Caenorhabditis elegans: one gene and its partner. The protein of the gene in region 1 interacts with the protein of each later gene in a pairwise test. Each region holds a gene or a part of one and is shown on either strand. Other genes may lie near its edges.

The links.
Region 2: the proteins of pei-2 (region 1) and szy-2 interact in a two-hybrid assay, tested with the Caenorhabditis elegans proteins (one large-scale study listed by BioGRID).

The regions. Positions count from the first base shown.
Region 1 is NC_003283.11:1,017,646-1,025,098, reverse strand, and holds pei-2 (BTB domain-containing protein), read left to right. Parts: upstream 1-1,631; 5' UTR 1,632-2,055; intron 2,056-2,325; 5' UTR 2,326-2,339; coding exon 2,340-2,401; intron 2,402-2,536; coding exon 2,537-2,798; intron 2,799-2,845; coding exon 2,846-3,001; intron 3,002-4,120; coding exon 4,121-4,495; intron 4,496-5,122; coding exon 5,123-5,178; intron 5,179-5,627; coding exon 5,628-5,702; intron 5,703-6,482; coding exon 6,483-6,536; intron 6,537-6,593; coding exon 6,594-6,699; 3' UTR 6,700-6,763; downstream 6,764-7,453. Other genes in the region: R09A1.3 (UPF0496 protein), read left to right, coding at 466-759, 1,156-1,257; Piwi-like protein ergo-1, read right to left, coding at 7,026-7,128.
Region 2 is NC_003281.10:5,368,300-5,373,071, forward strand, and holds szy-2 (Protein phosphatase inhibitor 2), read right to left. Parts: upstream 2,978-4,772; 5' UTR 2,973-2,977; coding exon 2,751-2,972; intron 2,063-2,750; coding exon 1,910-2,062; intron 1,858-1,909; coding exon 1,791-1,857; intron 1,024-1,790; coding exon 884-1,023; 3' UTR 667-883; downstream 1-666.

The DNA of each region.
Region 1 (7,453 bases):
GGAGTACTGTACTGGTACTGTAGGAGTACTGTAGTGGTACTGTAGGAGTACTGTAGTGGTACTGTGGGAGTACTGTAGTTTTTACTCTAGGATTACAAGAAATATTAGAAACTTCCTGCAAAATCTGGGAATGATGGAAAAAGTTTTGTACATTTTTGGAATTTTTTTAAATCTATACAAACCTAAAATAAAACCTGAACCTGAAGTAAAACGTCTTCGAAAAGTCTGAGAAATTAAGAAAAAAAAATCTAAGAGCTTTCTAATAAATTTTTGGACTTTAGGAAATTTTTTTGAAACTTTGAAACATGTTGCATTTACGGAAAAACCTGAAGTTTTTGAAAATATATAATCTGAAAAGTTCAACAAAAAATATTTTTTCAAATTTTTCGAAAAGTCTTTACTGTAGCAAAACATCTGCAAGCTACTGTAATAGTACCGTAATCTTCCATTTAATTCCATTTTCAGTCCCTTCATACCACAACCGAAGGCGACGAGACTCGAGATATTGGATCAGGTGAAAATATTCCAGCAGTGGATGTTGGGTCATTAAAGGATAACATTACAAAAGTATTCGAAATGGTCGAAAACATGCTAAAATACATCGATAAAAAGACAGAACGACGTTGGTGGCTCCGAGATGTCATAAATTTCACTCAAGCCGCTGTCAAAGTCGCCTTATTCATAAGTGCTGCGATTTCAGTGGCTTATCACGAAAATCAAATTGCGCCGATTATTACGTTGGTGATTACTGTAATTCAGGTAGGTCAAAGTGAAAAGAAAATAAAAAAGCAAAAAATTTCGAAAAAGTCGTATTGACAATCAAAAAGCGGCAATTACTGAGTTTCTGTCACTTTTTGAGAAACTTAGTACTGTACTACTAGTACTACTATTACAACTACAGTAATACTGTACTACTGTAGTACTGTAGTACAGTAGTACAATACTACCGGAGTACTATAATGCCGTAGGATTACTCAAAAGATTCTAGCACATTCCATAATTTTCTCGGATTTTCCAAAAGATTCTAGAAGTCTCCAAAGGTTTAACTAAGTTTTCAGAAGGTTTTTTGAATTTCACGCAAAAAAGTATTTTCTCAGAAAATTTGAAATCCCGTCAAAATTGAATTTCCACATTGAATAATATGATTTTTTGCAGGGAATAACCGAAGGATTCGATCAGTACTTTCTCAAGAACAAGAGCCCAGATGACATCCATATTTCTGTACTCACGAATACCATGAATAATTTGAAAAGTTGAAGAAAATTAATTTGATATCCATGATTTTGTTTTTGACCATGAGTAAAATGTGTAACGCAATTCATAGAATTTTTCTATTGTTGCAACAAACAAATTAAAATACCTAAAATATTCCTTGATCTACAAAAAATGCGGGAATTTATTGCCTAAAAAGTGTGACGTCAGCACGTTCTTAACCATGCGAAATTAGTCGAAAACGCTGCGTCTCATTCTCCCGCATTTTTTGTAGATCTACGTAGATCAAACCGAAGTGAGATACTCTGGCACCTTATCAAGTTTTCTCAACGCTAATATGCCTGAAAATTTAAAAAAAACCATAAGTCGTAATAAAAATCGGTGGCCGAGTGTTCAACTTTCGCGGCCACGAATTCTCATCGACTTTTCTTAGTTTGCGATAAAAATATATTTATTAATTCAAAAAACTTCAAAAAATCGATAAAAATCGCGCGGACACGAAAGTTTCAAATTATAGTACTCTTTAAAGGCGCACACCTGTTTTGCAATTTGAAAATTGTCGTTTCGAGACCGGGTACCGTATTTTGCCGCAAAATTACAAAACTTTGCGCGGCTGAATAAAATTTAAAATTTAAATTTAATAAATCAGAAAATCAATAAACGTGTGCCATCTTTTTTTTGTGGAAAAATCTACGCAATTTTAAGTGATTAGTTTTTTTTCTTTAAATTATATTTATTTTACGCAATAAAAAAAAAGAAGCTATTAATAATATTCACGTACGAAATTCTGTCATTTCTCAATAATCCTAAGCGGATTTTAATAGGCGGTCGAATATATCAAAAGTGAGTTTGTGTCTGGGAGTGGGTTCATGCCACGTGGCCGCGAAAAGAGAAAACTCGGCCACCACAAGAAATTAGCAAGTGGCCGGTAAAAAACCTTGGCCACTGCGGCCATGTTTTAAGATTCCAGTCGAAATGAAAACCGCGATCAATTATTGCTTTTTTTTTGATTATCAACTTTTTAACCAAAAAATTTTCGGCAATTTTTTGTTTGTAAATGGTGGCCGAGTTTTTTCTTCTCGCGGCCACGCATCGTTAACATTTTATTTCCAGAATATTCCGGCGAAATGAAAGATTCTTGCAAAGTCTCGAAATCCACAACAAACCATCGTATTGATATGAATAAAAGGTACGTAAATGTGCGCCAAATCTGGTGTGTACGCAATTCGTCTACCTGTTCGGTAGAGCGCATTTGCACTGTCAGAATACACCACATTTTACGCGCAAAATAAAACTCCATTAAAAACGCTTTTTAATTTTTCAGTCTTGATATAACCGCTGCCATTCACCATTTCGAATCGGTCTCCCAATTCCTTCGTGACGACTACTCGGGCGCCCGTGAACTTTGTGACGTCACTCTCCGCTTTGACGATGAATCGATTCCGGCACACTGGGTGATGCTCGCCGCCTACTCGCCTGCGTTCGCCGAAAAATTTCGAAAGCCCAATAAATGCTTCGTCTTGGAGATGCAACCGTTGGACAAGACCAGCGTGAAGCGGGTCTTGGATTATATCTACTTTGGCAAGGTAAGCTTTCCGCCTAGGCCTACCTCGTACCTACTTTAAGAATTCAGGTGACCTTCCGCCTGGCGACCCTTCACGAAGACTTGAAGGCTATCTCCTACTTTGAAATTGTCACGTTGCAAGAGGACGTTGAGAAGAGATTGGTGGAGCTGGCCAAGGGGAATTGTGTCGATGTGCTTAATTTGGTGACTGCTAACTTGAAAACTGTAAGTTTTTGAGACGGTGGTGCTGATAATGAGAAGCACGCCCGCCGGCTTTTCGCCCTGAACAAGCCTCTCTGAAAATATTGATTTTTTTTAATACGACTACCGGGCGATGAGCAGCTGGCAAATAGCTGGTCGATAACTTTCCTCTAACTACTACTATCGACCTCTAACTACTACTATCGACCTGTAGGTTGAACGATAGCGGCCTGTAGTGGGCGGTAGTGGCGGCAGCGGCGGCAGAGGGAGAGTTGCGGGCGGTAGATGGCGGTATTCGGCGGTAGCTGGCGTTAGCTGTCGGTAGCGGGCTGTAGTGGGCGGTAGCGGTGGCAACGGCGACAGAGGGAGAGTTGCGGGCGGTAGATGGCGGTATTCGGCGGTAGCGGGCGTTAGCTGTCGGTAGCGGGCTGTAGCGGGGGGTTGCAGGCGGTAGCGGGAGGTAGCGGGTAGTAGCGGCCGGTTAGCGGCCGGTAGCTGGCGGAAGCGGGCGGTAGCGGGCTGTAGCTGGCTGTAGAGGGCAAGTAGAGGGCAGTAGCTGCCGGTAGCTGCCGGTAGCGGCCGGTAGCGGGCGGTAGCGGGCAAGTAGCGGCCGACTAACAACCGGTAGCGGCGGTGACGAGCGGTAGCGGGCTGTAGCGGTCGGTAGCGGGCGGCAGCGGGCGGTAGTGGGCGGTAACGGGTGGTTGTTGACGGCGCATCCCACTGCGCCAGCGCACACAAATACGCGCCGCCGCTGGCGCCGGCGGATTTTTTAAAGTTTCCACGCGTGGCTTCCAAACAGTCGGTATAAACGCAGTTTGCCGGCGGCGGTAACCGTTTTTCGCAGCCGCCGGCGCACCCTACTGCGCCATTGCAAATTTTATTTGCTTGCGCCGGCGGCGGCAGCTCACACAAATAGGCACTGCCGCCGGCGTCGGCGCATATTTCATTTTTTTTAATTTCCACGCGTGGCTTCCAAACGGTAAAAACGCAGTTCGCCGCCGCCGGCGCACCGAGTTGCGCGCAGCCATCAAATCTCTGTCATTTTTCGAGCGGCCGGTAGCTGGCGGTAGCGGGCGGTACCGGACTAGTACAGGGCAAATAGCAGACAAGTATTTTTTTTTTAATAACTTTTTTTTCCAGATCCCGCATTCTCCATCTACGATTCTATTGATTTCCGATGAAAGTGTCCGCGATATCGTCTCGATCCTTCACGACACATACTCGACCAATCGCCTGTCCTACGAAGAAATTCTGAGCCTGTCGACGAACACGGTGATCACATGTCTGTCGGCACGAATTCCGGACTTTAAGAAGGTCGACATCATCAATATGTCGTTGAAGTGGATCTACGAGCGTCATCTCAACGATCACAAGGCGTGCAAGATTCTGCAAGGTCTGACGCTCGGCTCGATGACCTACGCGGAGCTGGTGAATTTGCGAAATTCGTTGATTCAAACCGCGATTCCTGTGACAATCGGAAGATGTGTTCGTTTGAAGCGTCGGGAGAACGATACGGTGAGCTTGGTCTCAACACTGTGACGTCACACCGGACGTGAAATTTTGAAATTTTCGCACCAAAAAAATACGGTACCGGGTCTTGACACGACAAATTTTCACGACGCGCTTCCGGCTTTCCTCATAAACTGAAATGTAAGAGTTTTGCCGAATTAGGCCACGTTGACTCGGCCATGGCCGGTGTCGATTTACGGCGCGTTGCGTGCCGCGTCGCGGCTCGTTTAGTTGTAAAACTAAATGTATTTGTCCGTGTGGATTACACGATTTTCCAACGCTTTGTCCGTCAGATTGTCAATGGAGCGCGAAAAATGCAATGAGGAAGGCCAGAAGTCCTTGACAAAAAGGTATGCACCTTTAATTTAATGAGTACTGTAGTTTCTCTTGTTGGAATTTTCATCCATTATTAAAAATGTTCGTGTTTTCTTCAAGTTTTTCAATAAATAAGCTAATTTTCAACAAAAAACTATGAAAAATCGATAAAATCTTGTGGCCGCGAAATTTTGTAACTACAGTACTGTTTAAAGGCGCACACCCTCTCGCGTCGAACAAAAGTATGTCGTGTCAAGACCGGGTATCGTATTTTTAGCGCGAATAGTCATATTCCATATAATTTATTAATTTTTGCAGCTCGACATTGTGTTCACCTACGGCGAATCTTCAGGATATCAGAAACCGGGCATCAAGTGAGTAAATTTTAGACTTGCTATTACACAGAAGCTAAAATTAAAGTGCCAGGTCTCGACACGACAAATTTCCAGGGTGTGCGGGGTGTGCGCCTTTAGAGAAGTGTACTTGTTGGAAATGTTATCGATTTTTCTTGGTTTTTCGAAGAAAAAAATATTAATTTACAACATAACATGAAAAACACTTAATTTTTAACAAATCGTGAAAAAAAAACTTGAAAAATCGATAAAAATTTCACAAAAATAAGAGCTCGAAATTACTGTACTCTTTAAAGGCGCACACCTTTTCGCATTTAACACAAAATTTGTCGTGTCGAGACCAGGTCCGTATTTTTGGAGCGAAAATCGCAAACTTTCGCGCCAGGGTAATAATTGGAGTACTCTTTCGCGCTTTACCGCACTGCGCCTCGATTTGGTGGAATGCATAATAAAACTAGAATATTTTTCAGGCCAACGATCACATCCTCGTTCACCATGAATAATGACCCAACGTCTGGCGCCGGGACACCATCTACGAAGACTAGGTGAGTTTGTGTAGTTTGTAGCCACGACGACACACAAAATTTTGATAAATGCGAAAAAGGTGTGCGCCTTTAAAGATTACTGTAATTTCAATTTTTTTAGAATTTTTATCGATTTTTCAGAGTTGAATTTGAGTGTTTTTGTCAAAAAACTATGAAAAATGGACGAAAATCCCGCTGAGAGGAAAGTTTAAAGTTACAGTACTTTACAGGCGCACACCTTTTCGCAAATAACAACAAAAATTTGCCGTGTCGAGACCTCGTACAGTATTATTGACGCGAAAACCGCAAAATTTCGCAAGAGAACAGTACAAGACGGTGCGAAAAGGTGTGCGCCTTTAAAGAGTACTGTATTTTCAATTTTTCGTATTTTTATCGATTTTTCAGAGTTTTTCCAAGAACATTTTTAATTTTAATGTATTCTTAACTGTCAAATTTGAGTTTTTATCCAAAAACAGCGATAAGTGACGAAAATTTCACAAATTAAAATTCCAGTACACTTTTTTAAAGGCGCATATACATTTTCGCAAATAACAACGAAATTTTCGTTTCAAGACCTCGTACAGTATTTTTTGGGGCGAAGACTGCAAAATTTCGCGTCTGGGACTGTTATTACAGAACAAGAAAAAAATGGAAATTACTATCTTAAAGGCGCATACCCTTTTCCGCAGGGTTTTTTGAAAAAAATTCAAATTTTTTCGCTCGTGTCGAGACCCGGAAAACCGGAAAATTTCACGTCTCGACAATAAAAACGCCTAAAAAATTCAAATTTTAAATTTTCAGTCGTTCCCCAAGCAACAAGTTCGACGATGCAATCTCCGAGTCTTGGAACGTCAAGTAAGCACTGCCACGTGGCATTTATCGATTTTTTTTTCTTCAAATTTTTTTTTCCAGTCTCGATGATTGCAACACGGCCATGTCGTTCAACGACGAAGACCTGAAACGTCTTGGAATCGAAAAATCGAAGAAGATGAAGAAGAAGGAGCAGGAAGAGATGTAGTAGTAGTAGTAGTAGTAGATAATTTGTTGATTGAAAAAGAATGAATGAACTGCTTGGGGGTTTATTATTATTGTTGTGGCAAATTTTAAAACTTTTGTGGGATTAGGGGCAAGTGAGAATCCGAGAATTTGAAATTTGAAATATGGAACAAGAAATAAGCAATTTCGGGGCAATTTAAAGTGTAAAAGTAAAGGAATAGTTGAGAAAATTGGGAAAATGATGTCGAAATACTTGTACATTTTAGTTGATTAAAGGTTGGTTGTTAGGGTAAATATAATAAAGAACGTGAAAAATGGAACAGTTGATTGAAATCATTAAGAAACATATTAGACAAATGTCATTCCTTCGAGCTTTTCGTTGACATTCATGTCCTTGTTGACTTCGCAGAGGTCTCCGAATGATTCGAGGTCGCAGTAGATATTATTTACTCTGAAAAAATATTATGATATTATGAGATTTCGAATGTTTTTTTTTCTATTAATTTCGAAAACTTTTTTGGGACAAGTGTAAATATTCAAAAATGTTTCAAAAAATTTAGGAATTTTGCAATTTTTTTTGAAAGTTTTTCCATAAATGAATATTCCTTAAAAATGTATTGTAAATCTCGGGAAATTTGAAATTTCTGAAAAATTTTTTTTTGTTTTGGCGGGAAATTCAGATTCTCGGATAAAAATTCGGCGTAAATTCAAGGAGGAAAAAAAGGAAAAAATTTAGGAAAAGCGTTTTTTCCGTCAACTAACGAAATTGCCGGAAA
Region 2 (4,772 bases), on another chromosome or scaffold:
AAACTGCAGTGGACACAAAAAAAGAAAAACTGAGAAAAACATTTTTGGGAGAATAGGAGGGACGGCAGAAATGCGTAAACAAGAGTCTTCGTGTGAGCGTATAAAACAGCAAGAGATAGGCTATAATGTAGTCTACGTGTATTTGTAGTGAACGGCCGTGATGACAATTAATGTTGACCTTTTTGTGTCTCAAAAATGATGAAAATATTGGACTGTGTTACATCAAATATTATTAGAAATAGAATTAACAATTTCGAAAAAAAAAACTATTAATTATGCAATATTCTGCGATTTTTGTTTCAAAAACAATGTAGCGATCTCGAAGCGATCGATTTTTCTGAATTCATAAGAGAGTACTGTAGTTGATAACTTTTCGTTGTTGCGGGATTTTCTTCGATTTTTTCTAGCTTTTCTCCTATTTCTTCAAAATTAGGTGTAATATTTTCACATTTTTGGAAACTACAGTACTACTAAAGGCGCACACTTTTCTGCGTTTAAGAAAATCGATCGCTTTGAGACCGGGTAACGTATTTTTAGAGCGCAAATCGTAGTATTTCGCAGCGGGGTAAAAAACATTTTTGTTTTCAAAATTTTCAGTATTAGAATCGTCTGACAAAATATAATTAGACAATTTTTGAAAATTTCAAAATCTAATAGTAAGAAAACTCATGGATCATTCGATATTCATTTCGAAAACTTGAAAAATATAGTAGGGAAAATTGAGAAATTGAGAGAACAAATAATAAATAAATTCGCTTACGGGGGAAAAGGATTTTATACAAGAATTCAGATTTTTTGGTGGAAACTTTGAAAAAAATGAGAAAGAGAGCAATTCAAAGGAAAAACAAAAATATATGATTGCACACGGCATTTAATGTATTTGCTAGTGTTCCATATTTCCACCGGCACCAGCAGCAGCAGCAGTAGCTTCTTCTTCATCATCTTCGAGTTCTGGATGATGCTTCAGAGCAGCTCCCTCGTTATAATGAGCACGTCGTTTCTTCTCGAAATCGCGACGGTGAGCTGTAAGAGTCGTGTTTTAAATTATGGAAATTTTGTACGCTTCGATTTAAAAAAAATTGAAATGACAAATATCAAAATGTTCAGTGAATCTAGTTTTTTTTCTAGGAAACCCATCAAAATTGATTACATTCCTAAAATAAATAATTTTTTAAAAATTTTGAAAATAATATCATTAGTAAATGGAAGATTTTAGATTAAAAAAAAACTGAGCCAATTTTTATGATCAGTTTAGAGAAAAAAACGATTTTTTAAAATTTAAATTATGTTGAAAAATGATAATATTGAGATTTGACCTTTTTATATTTATAAAATCTAGATTTTTTCAAAGAATTCGATTATGTTTCCAAATTAAACATTTTTAAACTCAAAAATAAGATTTTTGAAAAAATTCAACAATTTTTCTAAATTTTTTGTTGACAAAATTTTTAAAAAAATTTCTAAGAAAAACCAATTTTTCAACTGTATTATATCATTAAACTGATTTTTCTGGAATTTTTCCTTTATAATTTTTTTAATCAGAAATAACTATTTTTTAAAAATCTTTGAAGACAAAAGCTGTCCAAATAAGTTTTTTTTTAATTTCACAAAATTTTTTGCTCGAAATTACTAGACAATTTCTTTAAATAATAAAAATCGGTTTTTAAAAGGATTTTTAATTTACAATTTTTAGAATATTTTTGTGAATTTCTTATAAATTTTGATTTTTAATATACTTTTTTTTAATATTTCAACTAAAATGTATTTTTCTTCAATTTTCAATTCCGTACCACGTTGTTCCTCTGTCAAATCAGCCTCGTCCTCGGAATCTTCAGCGGAAGAAAGTGATTTTCCACTCTGGAAAAATAAATGAAAAATAAATGAGAGAACACATAAAGAGCTCTAAAACCTCCGGATGAGCAAGTCCTTCGGCCACTTTTTCTGGGTCAATGGCATTTCCGAGTGATACTCGTCGTGGTCGAGTTGTTGGTACTCCAAGTACTCCTTCATCACATTCACTTTCACCATCTGAATGATGATATGGGGTCTTTGGTTCATCAATCTGCAAAATTCAAAGTTTTTGAAAATGGCAAAATAAAATTTAATAGCAATCTGAATATGTTGAAACAATTTAAAGTCAAATAATTAAAACAAACGTTCATGGGAAAAATACGTTAAAAGCTAATAATTCTAGAAAAAAAATCAAAATGATTGACTGTCGGAAAATCCTTTCATAATTTTTCATTGTAACTTTCTAAAAACTCTTGAATTTTTAATAACTTTTTATTTCGCTTATTCTATAATTACTTTTTAGTGTGAATTCGCATTTGAATTAACTTTTTTTTGGGAAAAAAGCTGTAATAAAATTAACTATATTTTCAACAAAAAAAAATTAGACGTTTTTTAAATCATATATTTTCGATAATTTTCAGTTTTGAGGTGTTTTTTAACAATATTTGTTCATTATTATTCAAAGTCCTTTTCAATGAAAAAAGTTCGGTTTTTTGTTTAAAAAACTAATAAAAAGGTAGTTTTCTGAAGGAAATTTTGTTTAGATGTAAAAAAACAAAGTTATTTTTCCCAATTTCATTTTTTTTGTTTCAATTTTTTAGTTGAAAAACTTTTCGAGGACGTTTTTTTCCCAAAAAATTCCCATATTTCATCCAAATTGTTTTTTTAAGGGTCCCTCTTGAGGAAGAAGGAAATATTTTTTGCAGCCACAAAAGAAAGCACATGCTAAAAAAAATAACCTTCATGCTTCCATAATCCTTGTCAGTTGGATGATAAGTGGCAAGAATATTCATTTCATCAAAATGTGCACGACCATCTTTGCCCTCAAGCGATGAGTCTTGTTTCATCTTAAGAATACTCTTCTTTGGCTTTCTTTTCAGAAACTCGGCTGGATCATCAAGACAAATCTTTCCATCGGCTGTCAGTTTGACGTCGTCTGCAGAAGCGGAGGGTGATGCCATTTTCTGAAAATAGATGGAGAATTTATTTTTTAACTAGGTTCGAAAAAGTGAATAGGTAAAAAAAGCAAAGCAAAAAGAAATCGTTTTGAAACGTTAGTTATCAAATTACTATTTAGAGGTACTTGTCATAAAAAGTTTTTAAAGTTTCTCAAAAACTTAAGAATGTTTTTTTCAAATATTTTCGAAATCAAACATAAAATGTTTTTTTGCTAATTTATCTTTGTAGATTATTTTTTCCTCATCACTTAAACTATTGGATAATCTAAAATACATCAATAATTCTTTTCCATATATATTCCCGTAAACACGACTGAAATAGCTAGAGACACAGCGTGGTGAAAAAGTAAAAGCATGCGAGCTGTAATCTAAAAGGAAATTAATTAGAAACGAAAAAACTGGCTACTCGCCTTTTTTGCGCGGAACAAAGATGTGATTGTTGCAGAGAAAAGAGTCAAGAGAAGCTAGTAGATCCTACATGATTAATGACTTTGCATACTTTTCGTCTTTTTTTTTAGCATTGAGCTCTCGAATATTTGCGAAAGAAACCTTTTTTTCACTAAATGATCAGAACTTCGAATGATTGAATCACCAAATTATGTATTTTCATATATTTTATATTCCCTCAGTGATCAGTAGTTGGTGATCAACAACGTAATTATCTTTTTGGTCAGCTTTTGATATATTATCCGGTTGGTTAAAAACCGAAAGATGATGTCGAAAATAGAAAAAAATAATTTGAAAAATGTTGAATGTGGCATGAAAAAGAGAAATCGAAGCCCTACCATATATATTTTTAAAAAAATATTTTTCTCTCGGTCAAAATTAAAAAATCAGGTCAAAATGTTCTAAATCTGCAAAAAAGTAAGTCTAGGTCTTAGAGAAAATAATAATTTCTAGTGCCTGGTTCGTCGAAATATTACACCATTTTAATGATTTTTTGAACTAAAGTTCTTAAAAATTAATTTTATTCATCAAAAAAATATTTGAAAGTTATGTAAATGATTACTTTTATAAATTTCTAAAGCACGTACTAGTACATTTCTGAAGAAAAAAAAAAGAAATAAGGGTGCGAAGAACTGACACTTCAGAAAAATTGAGTCCAAGAAAGGACATCAATAAGTTTAATATTTAAACTAATTTTTAAATATAAAGTAACAATTATAGTGAGTGGGTGGGTTGGGAGCAATTATTTATCAAAACTTTCAAGCTCAGCAAAATATATTGAGTAATTTCAGATAATTGCAGCCTAGAACTAGCAATTTCAGTTTGAGATTTCAAAAACATCAAAATCAAATTTGAAATGAAATGGCACGACGGCAAGAAAATTCCAAAAAGAGACTCCGCCCATATATTGGCTACCAAAGTGTTTTTAATCTAATTTTTCGTATTTTCAGTCATATTCTAACTAATAATATGACTATTTAGAGCCTCGAAAGTGGTAGGTCACCTTAAAGAAAACATTCTTCACGCACAAATGTTTTTTTGACAAATGGAAGAATAGAATGAGTGAAAACAAGTTGGAAGAAGAGTAACGAGTCCAAAAAACTCTTGGGTGGCCGCATTTTATTCTCCGTCTAAGGCGGCTAGAGCCAACGAAGAGCCAATAATGCAATTGGCGCCTCTCCTCAGCCTGTGGGGCTCTCTGAGAGAGCGTTCAAGCGAAAAAAGAAGCAAGGCCATAGGGGGAAGAACATTTTTCGTCGAAGCCAGCAGGCAGCTGAAAAAAATTGACAAAACGAGAGAAAGCTCAGAAGAATCTGATAGAGATCCCCCACACACTCCGGAAGGGTCAACTGACTT